Sus scrofa: one gene and its partners. Each later gene encodes a partner of the first gene's protein in a complex. Links are inferred from orthologs where the notes say so. Each region holds a gene or a part of one and is shown in the gene's direction. Other genes may lie near its edges.

Region 1 (4,820 bases):
TACAAGCTGCTGCTGACGGGGACCCCCCTTCAGAACAACCTGGAGGAGCTGTTCCATCTTCTCAACTTCCTGACGCCGGAGAGGTTCAAGTGAGCCTGGGGGGCCGGCTGGGGAGACGAGGCGGGGGGCAGCCAGGGAAGGGGGGTCAGTGCCCGTCCTGGCTCTGGGGCTGCTCGCCGGGCCTCAGTCTCCTCGTCTGTAAAATGAGACGGCAGCAGCGCCCACCTCAAATGATCTAGACGGGAGGGGGCTTCACATTGGCTGGTGCCTCATGCCTGGGAATTGTCGCCTGCTGCTAACGCTGTGATTTCTCCTCGGCTCTGTCCCCAGAAGACCCTAGGGTCCTCCTGGGTTCCTTCCCTGCCCCCACATCCCTGGCTCCTTCCTTTCCCCCCACAGTGGCCTAAGTTACCACATGGGCGACGGTGATGGAGGCTGAAGCTGGGGTGGAGGTGGTGGGGCTGGGGGTGAAGTCAGAGCCCCCGGCTGCCTGTCCTTTCCTCCCCCCATTTTCCTGCTCAGAGAGGGGATTCAGGGAGTGAGCATTGTGGCACAGCGGGTTAAGACCCCGATGCAGTGTCTGTGACGACGTGGGTTCCAACCCTGGCTTCACTCCATGGGTTAAGGATCTGGCATTGCTGCGAGCTGCCGTGTAGGTCACAGATGCGGCTCAGATCGGGCGTTGCTGTGGCTGCGGTGTAGGCCAGCAGCTGCAGTTCTGATTCGACACCTCGCCTTGAACTTCCATATGCTGCTGCAGATGCGGCCCTAAAAAGGAGAAAAAGATGGGAGTTCCCTCTGTTGCTTAGTGGTAATGAACCTGACTAGTATCCATGAAGATGCAGGTTTGATCCCTGGCCTCGCTCAGTGGATTAAAGATCTGGTGTTGCTGTGAGCTGTGGTGTAGATTGCAGATGCGGCTCAGATCCTGCATTGCTGTGGCTGTGACATAGGCCGGCAGCTGTAGCTCTGATTGGACCCCTAGCCTGGGAACCTCCATATGCCGCGGGTGCAGCCCTAAAAGACACGGAAGAAAGCAAGCAAGCAAGAAAGGAAGACAGAAAAAGAAAGGGGGGCGGGATTCAGGGTGGAGAGTGCTGATTTTGGCCTCAGGAGATGTAGGTTAGAGGGCAGGTTGCACTGAGGAACTTGGGCTCCCATGAGCCTCAGTTTCTTTATCTGTGATCTGGGCAGGAGTCCCACAGACACATGTCCAGGACAGCTCTGAGGCCGGGCAGGTATCCTGAGACAGCTGTGATATGTGGGGGTGACACAGGCTGAGACTGAAAGAACACCTGGGGCAGGGCCAGGGCTTCTTGGCCCACCAGCCAGTTGGCTGCTCCTGTGACCCTCTGGCAGGTGGTAGGGACCTGGCTCCCTCTACAGAGGGCGTTGGCCGGTTCCCGGGCTCTCATCCCAGCTCTTTCTGGCAGCAACCTGGAGGGCTTCCTGGAGGAGTTTGCCGACATCTCCAAGGAAGACCAGATCAAGAAGCTGCATGACCTGCTGGGCCCGCACATGCTGAGGCGGCTCAAGGCTGACGTGTTCAAGAACATGCCGGCCAAGACGGAGCTGATCGTCCGCGTGGAGCTGAGCCAGATGCAGAAGTGAGCAGCCTGCCCCGGGGTCCCCCGGCTGTCTCCCCTCCTGGAGGGGCCTGACCTGGCCTTCCTGGGCCGCTGCCCAGGGTGGGTGGGAGGGCCTTTGGGACCCACAGAGACCTCATGTCACCTTTCACTTTTTTTTTTTTCGTCTTTTTGCTATTTCTTGGGCCACTCCTGCGGCATATGGAGGTTCCCAGGCTAGGGGTCGAATCGGAGCTGCAACTGCCGGCCTACACCACAGCCACAGCAATGCAGGATCCGAGCCGTGTCTGTGACCTACACCACAGCTCATGGCAACGCCGGATCCTTAACCCACTGAGCAAGGGCAGGGACCGAACCCGCCATCTCATGGTTCCTAGTCGGATTCATTAACCACTGCGCCACGACGGGAACTCCACCTTTCACTTCTGCTTCCTTCTTGGGGACCTCTGGTCAAGGTCCAGGGACCAGGCTTGGGGCCACCCCAGTCCTCGCGTGGTCCCACAGTACCTCGCTGGGCCAGGCCCGCAGCTTCACCTCTCGGGGCTCCCCGCGTCTGTCTGGAGCTGGGCGCTCGGCCACCAGCCCCTGCCTCCCCATGGAGCAGAGCGCCCTCGTGGAGGCAGGTGCGGCCAGGTGTCCAGCCCGGCTCTCCTTCCTCTGCCACAGGAAGTACTACAAGTTCATCCTCACGCGAAACTTCGAGGCGCTGAACTCCAAGGGGGGCGGGAACCAGGTGTCGCTGCTCAACATCATGATGGACCTGAAGAAGTGTTGCAACCACCCCTACCTCTTCCCCGTGGCCGCTGTGGTAGGTCCCCGTGGCTGCTGCCGTGGCCACCGTGATGGCTGCCCTTGGCCGAGTCCCCCATGGCAGGGGCCTGAGACCGTGGAGGGGCTTGTGGCTGCTGTGGTGGCTTTTCTGGGCCCTTCCTGCAGGTGGCATTGGCTGCCATGGTGCTCCTGGCTGCTGTGGCTGGTGCTCAGGCCTTCAGCCCCCAATCCTCCCCAAATATGAGGACTTGGAAGTGATGTGGCTCCCCACGGTGCCAGAAGTTTCTGCTCAGGCAGGCCCTCTCCTTCCCTCGGCGCCTCCTTGTGCCTACAAAGTAATGGGGGCTTTGGGTCACCGGGTCCCCTCCAGCCTCAGTGTCAGGGATTCCAAGGGCTGACGTGGCCGAACTCAGTTGCCAAGGGAGTCGGGAGGGGTTGGGTGGGGCCCCCGGGTGACGCTGACGTGCAGCCCTGGGTGAGAGACCAGACCCTCAGCTCCAGCCCTGTGGTATCAGGACAATCACTGGTCCTCTCAGAGCCCCAGGTTTTTTGTCTGTAAAACGGGGACCCTAACGGCATCCACCTGCAAGGGCTGAGGACCAGGCGAGGAAGTTCATATAAGGCGCTTTAAGGAGAGGGCGCAGTCACTGCTGTTCTGGTTCTAACTTCAACCCTTCATTTTCTGTACCTCCCTCCACCACCCCCAGGCCTCCCCCTGCCCCCCAAAAAACAGATCAATGTGCAGAGGTAGGTGTGGAGGCCGTGCTGCAGGTGGTCCACACTTGGGCAACTCCAGGCCACTCTCGTGACCCTGGCCGGGCAGCAGCCTTTGGGCTGAGGTTCTGCCCAGCTGGGGTCCAGGTTGGCTTTGCCCGGCTGTGCCCTACAGTGACTGCAGAGGCCAGGCCAGATTCCTGCTGGGAAGGCCACTTGGCTCCAGACTGTCATCTATCTGTCACTGATGTCGGTGGTCTTGGTGGGGTGCCAGCAGGGGGCGATGGAGGGCAGGGCTGGCAAGTCTGAGCCCTCCTGGGAACCTGGGGCTGGGAGAGGCTTGGGCTTGGTGCTCAGCCTGTTGCTGGGCGCTTGTCCAGCCCCTGGGGCCTCTTTGGTGCAGAGCCAGAGAGGAGAGGGGAGCCCCAAAAGCCCCACCTCCTGCCGTGTCCGCAGGAGGCCCCCGTCCTGCCCAACGGCTCCTATGATGGCAGCTCGCTGGTCAAGTCTTCAGGGAAGCTGATGCTGCTGCAGAAGATGCTCAAGAAGCTGCGGGACGAAGGGCACCGTGTGCTCATCTTCTCCCAGGTGAGCCGCCCCTGCCCCACCTCACCCCTGCAAGGCCATCCAGCCCCCTGCCAGCTGAGGGCACAACCTGCCAGCAGCCCTCAGGGCCCAATGCCATCCTCATGTGGATTGAGTGTCAAAAGTCACTCCTCTGGGCCCTAGCCTTACGCGGCCAAGGGGACCTGCTGTCTGGTTCAAGTTCAAGATGCTTAAGGTATGTGGGTGATGAGCACCAGAGGCCTGCCCATCACCTGCTGCTTCTGGCCTGCTCCTCCTGGAGCTTCCTGTCCTGGCTGGGATGATAGGCCCTCGCCCTTCGCCCCTTGCCCCTCGCTTCTGTAGCCCAGCGTCTCCTGGAGGTTGGTTCAGGAGGAGCCCCGCAGGGGGCGTAGCTGAGAGGGTCCCCAGCTGGATCCTGAAGTTGCACTTGCAGCATTGCTTTTGGGGCAGTCAGAGGCAGAGCTGTCCAGTCTCAGAGCCTTGTTCGTCTGCGCACTGGTTGTTCCTTCATCCTTTCGCATCTGTCATACATCAGGCTCTGTGCTAGGCATGAGGGTCCAGCTCTTGTTCTCGAGACCCTCATAGTCTAATGTGGAAGATGGAGGTATTGACAGTTATCTAATCCCAAGGCCATCTCTGTGATGAAGGTTGGTGATGGTCCTGGGGGCTTGGTGCAAAAAATGCTGCTGGATGGTGGGGCTGAGCCAGGTTCATGGCTCAAAGCTGGTGACTAGGGTGTGGCTTCTCCATGGACAAAAGTCGGTGGGTAACAGCTGCTCCTGCCCACAGCCCCTGATTCCACTCTAGGCCTGCAGCAGGCTGAGGAATCTGGGGACAGCAGACAAAGCCCATGAGTGTGGGCTGGCCTGGAGCCTGGGTCCACAGTCCTCCAGCCCCCTGCCAACATAAGGCATGATTCTGGGCTGAGGAACCAAGTGGAGGGGACTGTACAACTTTTGGAAATGTGCACAGACAGAAAGTGACAGAGACAGAGCCCTGCCATCCAAAATGAGCCTGCAAACCCCAATTCCCAAACTCAGGACAACTTTCAGTGAGCCATCCCACGAAATAGTAAGTAGAATCCCAGTGAAAAGAAAAATAGAAGAGCCTGAAAAAGACTTCAAATAAACACATTTAGGGGAGTTCTCTAATGGCCTAGTGGGTTGAGGCTCCTGTGTTCTC
Region 2 (4,645 bases), on another chromosome or scaffold:
ACCACAGTAAGGACGGATGGGGGACAGGTGGGAGAAAACCATAAGCTTATCAATGTGAGCTTTGGGCAAAGGCCAGAACGCCCAGCTCCAGTAAGGTGATGCTTTGGTTGGGGTGGGGGTGGATGGTACTTGCTAGTGGTTGGGGAGCCAGGTAGGTTGGCACAACCGCAAAGTGATCCGGCAGGAATAAAAGGCCCTCTGCAGAGAATAGAAGGGAGCCTGGGTGTCAGTCTGTGTTTTCTCCTTTTTCTATGTCCTTCTTCCAGGAGCCACACTCGAGAGGTCATTTGTCCAGACCTGAAGCCCAAAGTCTCTCTCCCTATACGACTAGCGCCAACCGGGCCAAGCTGCTGGCCAAGAACAGGCAAACATTCCTGCTCCAGACCACGAAGCTGACCCGTCTTGCCAGACGCATGTGCAGGGACCTGTTACAGCCGAGGAGGGCTGCCCGACGACCCTATGCCCCTATCAATGCCAATGCCATCAAGGCAGAGTGTAAGGGCAGCTTCAGGGTTTGTTCTGGCCGGAGGGCGTTCCTCTGGATATTTACTGACAGTAGGAATAGTGGCCCATAAGGATTTGTTGGGAACTTGGACACAGTTCCTGGCCCCAGAAGAGGCCTGAATAGTGAAGTCCCTTCAAAAGCTTTTGTCTTTGTTCTCCAGGCTCCATTCGACTTCCTAAGGCCGCCAAGACTCCACTGAAGATTCACCCTCTGGTGCGACTTCCCCTGGCAACTATTGTGAAAGATTTGGGTAAGGGATGGGGAACTGGACTGCGGTACAGGTGGTATAGGATGGGGAGGCTCTTAGGGTGGTGGCTGCCTTTCAGTCCTTTTATTATCAAGACCTATCTCTTCCCCTACGGCATATGGAGGTTCCCAGACTAGGGGTCTAATCAGAGCTATAGCTGCCGGCCGATGCCGCAGCCACAGCAACGCGGGATCCGAGCTGCGTCTGCGACCCACACCACAGCTCACGGCAACGCCGGATCCTTAACCTACTGAGCAAGGCCAGGGATCGAACCTATGTCCTCATGGATGTTAGTCGGGCTCTTTACTGCTGAGCCACAATGAGAACTCCTGAAGTGTTTTTTTTTTTTTTTTTCATGGAGTTTCCTGGCGGGTCACTGGCATTGTCACTGCTGTGGCTCTGGTCACTGCTTTGGCTTGGGTTTGATACCTGTATTGAGAATTTCTTTTTTTTTTTTTTTTTTTTTTTTTTTGTTGTTGTTGTTGTTGTTGCTATTTCTTGGGCCACTCCCACGGCATATGGAGGTTCCCAGGCTAGGGGTTGAATCGGAGCTGTAGCCACCGGCCTACACCAGAGCCACAGCAACGCGGGATCCGAGCCGCGTCTGCGACCTACACCACAGCCCACGGCAACGCTGGATCGTTAACCCACTGAGCAAGGGCAGGGACCGAACCCGCAACCTCATGGTTCCTAGTCGGATTCGTTAACCACTGCGCCACGACGGGAACTCCCTGTATTGAGAATTTCTAAATGCCATGGGTGCATCCAAAAAAAAAAAAGTTTTTATCATAAGCTATTCAGTAAACTGTGCACTGATTGATAAGATCACACTCATGTTTGACTTTTGAAATGCTGGTAATCGCTTGCCAGCCCCCTCCCCCATCACTCCTTTTAGGAATGCCCAGGGAAGATGCATAGAAAAGAGGGAGTGTGAAAGTTCTCTCAGGTTTCCTTTATTTATCTATTTGTTTTTCCCTGACAGTGGCCCAGGCACCTCTGAAACCAAAAACACCTCGGGGTACCAAGACACCAATCAATAGGAACCAGCTGACCCAGAATCGGGGGCTGGGGAGCATTATGGTGAAACGGGCCTATGAGACTGTGAGTTGACAGACTGGAGTGGGTCACGTTGAGTTAGATGGGTGTTTATTTCTGATGGGCGTCTGAGAGTCCCCCTTCTCATTACGCTGCCCTACCCTTTTCCAGATGGCAGGAGTCCCCTTCTCTGCCAATGGAAGGCCTCTGGCTTCAGGGATTCGCTCAAGCTCACAGCCAGCAACCAAGCGTCAGAAACTAAACCCAGCTGACGCCCCCAATCCTGTGGTGTTTGTGGCCACAAAAGACACCAGGTGGGGAGCCCAGCATGGGAGGGGCTGAGAGGTTGACCACCCAGCCTGGTGGGTGTGGGAAATAGGAGTATCTGAGCAAGACCAACTCCAGGGAGACCCTGGCTGCAGGGTGGCCGTGCTAGGAAGGAAGGGGCTGGAGATGGGGGATTGCAGTGTGGAATGTGGGGTTTCAGCCTGAAGGTCTTTGCCTTCTCCCTTGTCCCCCTTTCCTTCCTGACCAGAGCCCTGCGGAAGGCTCTGACCCACCTGGAGATGCGGCGAGCTGCCCGCCGGCCCAACTTGCCTCTGAAGGTGAAGCCACCGCTGATTACAGTGCGGGCTCCAGTCTCTCTTCCTCCATCCGCACATCCTGCCAGCACCAATGAGCCCATTGTCCTGGAAGACTGAGCATCTGTGGGGCAGGGAGGAGGGCTGAAAGCTAGAGGGTGGGTGCACCGGGCACCTAGCCTCCCTTCCCTCTAGTGTCAAAGGGAATGAGGAGTGCGGGAGGGAGGGAGCAAGTGAGTGTGTCCTTGGAGGGGATGGGCGCCCTCTGGTGTTACTACTTGGAGGCTTGTCCCCTTCCGGTGCTTCTCCATGCCTGGTGATGGAGGGCAAACTGCAGGAACTTGGCCCATTGTGGGAACCTAGCCTGTTTTGGGGGTAGGGCCCACAGTTGTCTTGGATAGTTTTTGGGGGGAGGGTTTTTTAATTTTTTAAAAATTTTGCCTCCCTTTGTGAAAGGGGATGGGAGAGGGGAAGAGTAAGCAGATATCAGGTGGTATCTGGTTGGGGGAGGGGGGCGTGCACTGCCATTACTGCCATGTCTATCTTTTTTTTCTCCTTTTTTCTAACTGGGGGTTCCTCTTCCTGTCCGGTGTCCGGACTTTCCCAATCGGAGTTTGAGGCCCCTAAGCTGGTATCAACCCCAGCCTATGCTCGCTCTTTCCTTCCCTCTCCTTGCCCCCTCTGCCTTTTGTACGCCAATTCTCAGAAATAAAGATCTTTTGTCCGTTTTTTTAACCTCGGATTCTGTAATTGGTTCTTATAGTAACAAATAAAAAGCTGTTTTCTTCAGCTCCTCCTGGCTCAGCTATTCTCTGCTGTGTGTGTGTGTGTGTGTGTGTGTGTGTGTGTGTGTGTGTGTGGTATCTTTGGGAAAATAAAGGACAAAGGACAATAGAGGAGGTATAGATGGGGGCTTGCCTGGGGTAGAGCTTTATGAGATACACAGCCTGGGACAGGTGGCCTGTTCCATCTTGCTTTCCTGTGGGACCCACACTGCTCCCCAGCTCTCTGTGGTACTGGAGCCAGAGTATCATCTTGGCTGAGATTCACTCAAACCCGTTGAGATGAGCTGGTTCTCAGAATGACTGGTGGCTTCCATAGGAGTGTGAGTGTGTGAAGGTGCTTCTTTATTTCCCAACTTTTAAACTCCTCTCTCCCTTTTACTTGGGGAATTCTGGGAGTTGCGAGGTTGGAGCAAGATGTAGTCCACCTCGGGGGGTGATGTAGGGTCATACCACCTAATGCTGGTGTATTCGCACAGACTGCTGTTGCAAGATCTCCAAGGCCAGCAACTGCTTTGATATTGGGGTCCACTCTAGTGCCATTTCCTCCCTTTTTAGGTTTGGGAGACAGATGAGACGCCTGAGCTAGTCCCGACAGGAGGAGCACCTCAGGAGAGAGAACAACAAATTAAATCTATTGTGTGCTCCTTGAGCACTTTCTTTAGAGATGAGAAACAACCTCAGCATTTGTGACTTGCTCAAGGCTAAAGACCTGGAGATGTTTACCTTAGGTCCTCTTTACACAGTCCAAAGTTGTGGGTTGGTCAACAACAGCAAGAGTTGCCTAGCCCAGTTGAGAGGCCCCTCCATCTCGTCCCTGTCCCAAGGGTGTCCCCAGCTCCCTTACTCTCCCTGGCCTGAGCAGCACCTCCGGAGTTTGGGAGGAATTGACCACTGTAACAGTCTGGAGGAGGCCAGCACCCTCCAATGTCTTTACTCAGTTGCCACCGTAGTAGTTTCTGCCGCATGCCTTGAAGTGGGCCGGTGGCTCTGGCGCCTGATGAATACACTCCATGCAGCCCGCTGTCGCGGAATAAAGGCCATCTGGCTGTGGCCCCCCTGAAGTCCAAAAGGTGTCCGGTGTGGTTAGGGCTCCCGGCCAGGGCTGGGAAGCCGTCGCAGAACACACTTTCTGGGAGAAGACCGACAGCAGAGGAAAAGAGTAACAGCCCGAGGAGGTTGAGAGCTTAGGGACAGCCAGGGTATCCTGGAGATGAAGGATCCGCCTTTATTCACCAGGTAAATAGGGGGTTGCGGATACAGTCTCGTGGTCTCTACTGCCTCTCGAAGGGAGGGTACAGCCTGCCCACCACCACACAGCAAGGAAACTGCCGGCTGTCAAGGATCGGACCCCGCAAGAAACTGCGCCAACCTTTGCGGCTGCTTTCTGAGTATTCAGGATCTTTGGGCCAATCAACGCCTGATCAGCTCAGAGCACACCAATCGGCTTACCGCGTGCAGTTACGCATCGTAGACGATTTCCCTAAAGCGGGCC
Region 3 (4,820 bases), on another chromosome or scaffold:
TTGCCATGAGCTGTGGTGTAGGTGGCAGACATGACTCGGCTCTGGCGTGGCTGTGGCTATGGTGCAGGCCGGCAGCTGCAGCTCCATGTCGACCCCTACCCTGGGAACCTCCATGTGCAGCCCTTAAAAAAAACAAAAAAAAAAGATGCAATTGGCCCCAGTCACTGGGCCACTGGCCAGCGCCCCCCTCGCCCGCCTTCCTGCCCCCAGAGAGGAGTCAGCGCCTGCATCCGTCTGCCCTCTGCTCTTCCAGCCTTTGCTGATGACCCGCTTCCTGCCGCCCCGAGGGTTGACTTAGCAGAGAAGAAACGGCAGGGGAGCCTTCTCTTCCCTGGGGTCGCTGACTGTCACGAGGCAGGGGACTAGGGGAGGCATCCGAGGGGAAATTCGCCCCCAGAGGTTCTGTGATGAGCCTCCAGAGTTTGGAGAGGTCATTCAGTACAGGGTGACCAGCCAGGGATGCGTGCTGGGCCCCGAGGGGCTGGGCTGGCCGGGACGACCCGCTGGGGGTTCCTGGGGGTTCCGTGCTTCCGGCTCACTGACGCTCGGGTGAGGGTTTCCTGGCAGCGAAGAGAGTTTCCCTTCTGCCCCTTGCCAGGCGTTTAGGACCCCATAGCCTGTAGAAGGCACACCCGTTGGGGTCTGCGTTCCACTTGGACCTGTGGGACTCCTTCACGCAGTAAACCGAAAAGAGCCCCTGCGATAAGCTAAGGGCAAAGGAGAGCAGACGTGCTTGCCCCGGAGGGTCTTCCCCGCGGGGGGTCTTCCCCGCAGGCTTGCTCAGTGGCCCTGCTGCCTCTCGGTCTCCATCCTTCTCACACTCCGGGCAACCCCTCCAGTGTCTGGACATCTGCCCTGTCCTGTGCCAGGCTGCCTGCCATCGGGGTTGTGGATCCAGGTTGCAGGGCGGCCCCTGGGCCAGGGCAGAGCCGGCTCTGGCCAAAGCCTCGTCACAGGCGTCCTTTCTGGTGGCCCGGGGTTCCCCTGGTGTCCACAGGGGGCACCGGACGGAGGTGGGCGCAGGGCGGGCTTAGGTCCCGTGTGCCTCCCCCACCCGCGAGGCCCTGCCGCAGCGGCCCTGCTGGAGCGGAGCCCGGGGGCGGGCGGCGCTCAGACCCTGCCTTGCTCTTGCAGACGGCCAGCGGGAACGTGGAGGCCAAGGTGGTGTGCTTCTACCGGAGGCGGGACATCTCCAGCTCCCTCGTCGCCCTGGCCGACAAGCATGCCAGTGAGTGCCGGCCCGCCCGTCCCCCGGAAGTCACCGGCTGTGCGCGCTTGGGGGCACTGCTGGCATCAGTCCCCTGAGAAGTTTCTCGCTTCAAGATGGATTTGGGGGCCTTCTCAAATCCTTGGCTGGTGCTGCCCTGCGCCACGGCGGGGTCCACGGGGTGTGTGCGTCCGGTCCAGGGAGCAGTCACTTCTCTGCTGACCCCGTCTGGCCCCCCGGGAGGATGGGTTCCCCGTGAGGCCTCCCACCTTGGGGTTTTGGCCTGTGTGCGCTTGTGCGGCCCGCTGCATCAGCGGCGTCCCCGTGGTACGCGTGACTCTGTGTCCACTGGTGGACCATGATGCTGTGCCCAGAGCGGCCACCTTAGAGGTGGGACCCAGTGGCCGCTTGGTGGCCTCTGGTGCCGAGGCAAAGAGCCAGGTCCCTTGGGGTACAGTGCTGCGCATCCCAGAGGCGCGGTCCGTGTGGGCGCGGGCCCCGCCCTGCAGGTGACCCGTGTTGGCTCATGTTCTTGCTGTCAGAACCCTGGCGGTGGCCCTGGGGCGGGACTGCAGGGCCACGGACCTGCTGGCGACTTGGGGTGAGGATGACCATGGGCCTCCTTCCCTGTGTCTGGGGCCAGCTCTGTGCTCTCAGGCGCCGGAGCTCAGCCAGGAGCCAGCAGGGCTCTGGGGGGAGCGTGGCCGGGGAGACCGCAGGAGCAGCAGCTTCTCCAGAAGCGCTGAGTTGGCGGCAGAGGCCCCCAGGCGCTGGTGGGGCTCCCGTGCGCATGTGACGTCCCTCGCCAGGGACCGAAGGCCACGCGGTGGGGACATGTGTCGTGCACGTGGCACGTGCCGCTCTGGGGAGGTGGCCGGCTTGCCCGGCCCAGCATAGGCCCTGTGTTCTCGGAGCCGTGTCCGTTCGGGCCGCCCTGTCCCGCAGTGATTTCTGCAGGAACCGCGAGCTCATCAGCCCCCTGCCAGCGTCTGCTGGGGTGGGGGGATGCCCCCTGCGAGGTCAGAGCGGCTGCTCCAGTCTCGTCTGGGCCCGCAGCCCCCGTCCTTCCCCTGCCAGGGTGTCCAGCCCCAGAGCAGTTGCCCTGGAGAAGCCCTTACTAGGGTGTCCAGGCCAGTGTGCTCCCCACGGCCCCTGCTCGAAGTGTGTCTCCCCGCCACGCACACAGAGCTGTTGTCCTGAGAGTGAGACCTTGCCCGAGGGAGCAGCGGCACAGATTGCAGCCCCCCGGACCCCCTGGGGTGAGCTGCAGGGCCTGGGAGAGTCAGCAGGGTGTCAGCCCTGCTGGGCGGGTGGGAGCAGAGTCTGCCTGCGCCTTGGGGGTGGGCCCCCAGCTCTGAGCCCAGGGCCAGGGCACGCCAGATTCCAGAGGGAGGGGCTTTTGTGCCAGGGACCACCTGCCCCTGGGTTCTTAGAGGCCGAGTGCCGCGGCCCATGCGTGCTCACAGGTCTGCTGGGGACGGGGCTCGGGGCTGTCCTGGTCAGGGAGCTGGACGCTGTCCTGGCCCCAGCTCTGGCCACCCTGAGGCTGTACGCACGGCCCTGGGACCTGCTGACGGCAGGGAGCCCTGGTGGGCTGGGGCCTCGGAGCCACTGTGAGCCTGTGTCAGGGTGGGACAGGGCAGGGTCTGCAGGCCTAAAGCGGGTGTCCAGGGGCCCTGGGCTGGCAGGCCCCCGGCAGAGGAGCCAGCCCAGGCTGGCTGCGAGCATGTTAGGGTGCGGGGCTGCTGGGCCGGCGTCGGACACTGGGCGTGTCCTCCGTGGGGATGCACTGGGATCCGGGTGGGGGGTGGCAGCCATGTCGGGGCTCGGGTGTCTGGCCTGGTCCCAGTCTGAGCTGCAGGCACCGGGTGGGGGGTGCGGCTCCCCTGCCCACTGGCACGAGGACTCCCCGAAGCCGCCTCCGGGGGGCAGCAGAGGGCTGCGGCCCGGCTGGTGGCCCAGGGCCCCAGGGCTGGGGACTGGCTGGGGAGGGCTTGCCATGCCCCCACCTTTGGGCTTTGGGGCAGAGGATGGGGTTCAGCTGTGTCTGGCTTCCCCTCAACTCCTGCACGGCCGCAGACTCCACTGTGCCTCGAGGGCACCCAGCTCCCGTGGCCAGGCTCTCCCTGTGGCTGAGGCCGCAGGCAGTGAGTTTGCGTGGGTGACCTGCCTCGGTGGCTGAGACGCACCCCCGCCCAGTCCGTGCTCTGAGGCGTGTCTGGCTGCCCCAGCTCTGAGGGGCAGGTGTGTTCTATGTGCAGGGAGGGAGGGGGTGCCACCCAGGCTCACAGAGTCTCAGGCAGCAGGGCGTTGGGGTGGGCGGGGGGCCAAGCCTGGCTGGCTGGGCTGTCCAGAGGCCCAGGTGTTCTCTGGTTTCGGCTGGGTGGTCTGCGGCCCCCTTGTCCACCCTGCCTCCCAGCTTTGCAGCCCTCGGTCCAGGCCGGGCAGGGAGTGGGCAGCTAACCCGCCGTCTGGACGCTGTCTGTCTGTTGTATAGCCCTGTCAGTCTGCTATAAAACCGGACCGGGGGCCGACAACGGCGAGGAAGGTAAGAGCCACCCTCAGCCAGAGGGTCCTGGCGTCTGTGCGCCGGCCGCCTGCATGCCCGTCCCTGCGTTCCCTGCCATGAGGCGGCCCGAGGAGGGGCCTGCGCTCTGCAGCTTGGCTCCGAGGGGCCGGGAGGCTCCAGGCAAGGTGTGCGGTGGGCCTTGGGCCCAGGCCGTGGGGTCTCTGCCCTTCTGGACGTGTAGCACCGGCTCTCTTGTTCTCCTCCTCCTGCCCGCTGCTTCCCGGGCCAGCGGAAGCGCAGTGCTCCTTCCTGCTCAGATGCCCGGGGCTCCAGGGCTTTGGGCCCCGTGGGGTGGCTGGGCTGCAACGGGCGCACTGGCACCAGCATGTCTGCCGGGGCCCTGCGGGGACCTCCCCTGCCATCCCCCTGGGTCCAGCAGGGGGTGGTGTCCGTGAAGCCGGCGGGCGGGCCTTTGTCCAGTGGCCCGAGTGTGTGTCTCTGTCCTTCAGGAGAGGTAGAGGAGGAGGTGGAGAACCCGGAAATGGTAGACCTGCCCGAGAAGCTCAAGCACCAGCTGAGGCATCGGGAGCTGTTCCTCTCGAGGCAGCTGGAGTCCCTGCCTGCCACCCACATCAGGTACCCGGAGGCCCCGGGCGGGCGGGAGGCTCTGCCCGCCGCCGCTGACGCGCGTGCTTCTCTTACAGAGGGAAGTGCAGCGTCACTTTGCTCAACGAGACCGAGTCCCTCAAGTCCTACCTGGAGCGGGAGGTGAGGCCCCGACCCTGCGGGCTCGCGCGTCCTGGGGGGCGGAGGCAGAGGCTGGGCACTGGCCTCCACCCGTCTCCGTGGAGACCGCTGCTCCCGGCTCACCTTGGGCTCAGACCCTTCCCTGCCCGCGGCGCCCCGAGGCCAGGTGCTGGTCCTTTTTCCTCCCGGGGTCCCGTGCAGCCTCGCTCGTGCCTCCAGAGCAAGGGGGCCTCAGGGAGTCTGCCTGCCTCATCCGCAGGCAGGTCCAGGAGGCACAGCTCGTCCTGGAAGACAGGAAGCGGCCACGTGCTGGCGCTCGGCCCTCCCAGTGGTCACCGCGCAGCAGTCCAGGCCACT

Evidence for each region.
Region 2: CHD5 (region 1) and MTA2 share a complex: the UniProt entries of both Homo sapiens proteins name them as parts of the nucleosome remodeling and deacetylase (NuRD) repressor complex. The link is inferred for Sus scrofa from reciprocal best matches to the Homo sapiens genes CHD5 and MTA2.
Region 3: CHD5 (region 1) and MTA1 share a complex: the UniProt entries of both Homo sapiens proteins name them as parts of the nucleosome remodeling and deacetylase (NuRD) repressor complex. The link is inferred for Sus scrofa from reciprocal best matches to the Homo sapiens genes CHD5 and MTA1.

The regions. Positions count from the first base shown.
Region 1 is NC_010448.4:67,047,706-67,052,525, reverse strand, and holds part of CHD5 (chromodomain-helicase-DNA-binding protein 5), read left to right. Parts: coding exon 1-89; intron 90-1,433; coding exon 1,434-1,607; intron 1,608-2,252; coding exon 2,253-2,394; intron 2,395-3,527; coding exon 3,528-3,659; intron 3,660-4,820. UniProt on the Homo sapiens protein: ATP-dependent chromatin-remodeling factor that binds DNA through histones and regulates gene transcription. May specifically recognize and bind trimethylated 'Lys-27' (H3K27me3) and non-methylated 'Lys-4' of histone H3.
Region 2 is NC_010444.4:9,143,806-9,148,450, forward strand, and holds the end of MTA2 (metastasis-associated protein MTA2), read left to right. Parts: coding exon 1-6; intron 7-266; coding exon 267-495; intron 496-665; coding exon 666-755; intron 756-1,734; coding exon 1,735-1,853; intron 1,854-1,958; coding exon 1,959-2,101; intron 2,102-2,322; coding exon 2,323-2,488; 3' UTR 2,489-3,161; downstream 3,162-4,645. UniProt on the Homo sapiens protein: May function as a transcriptional coregulator. Acts as a component of the histone deacetylase NuRD complex which participates in the remodeling of chromatin.
Region 3 is NW_018084979.1:3,477,705-3,482,524, forward strand, and holds part of MTA1 (metastasis-associated protein MTA1), read left to right. Parts: intron 1-1,134; coding exon 1,135-1,228; intron 1,229-2,393; coding exon of another isoform or gene 2,394-2,466; intron 2,467-3,704; coding exon 3,705-3,755; intron 3,756-4,225; coding exon 4,226-4,352; intron 4,353-4,420; coding exon 4,421-4,484; intron 4,485-4,820. UniProt on the Homo sapiens protein: Transcriptional coregulator which can act as both a transcriptional corepressor and coactivator. Acts as a component of the histone deacetylase NuRD complex which participates in the remodeling of chromatin.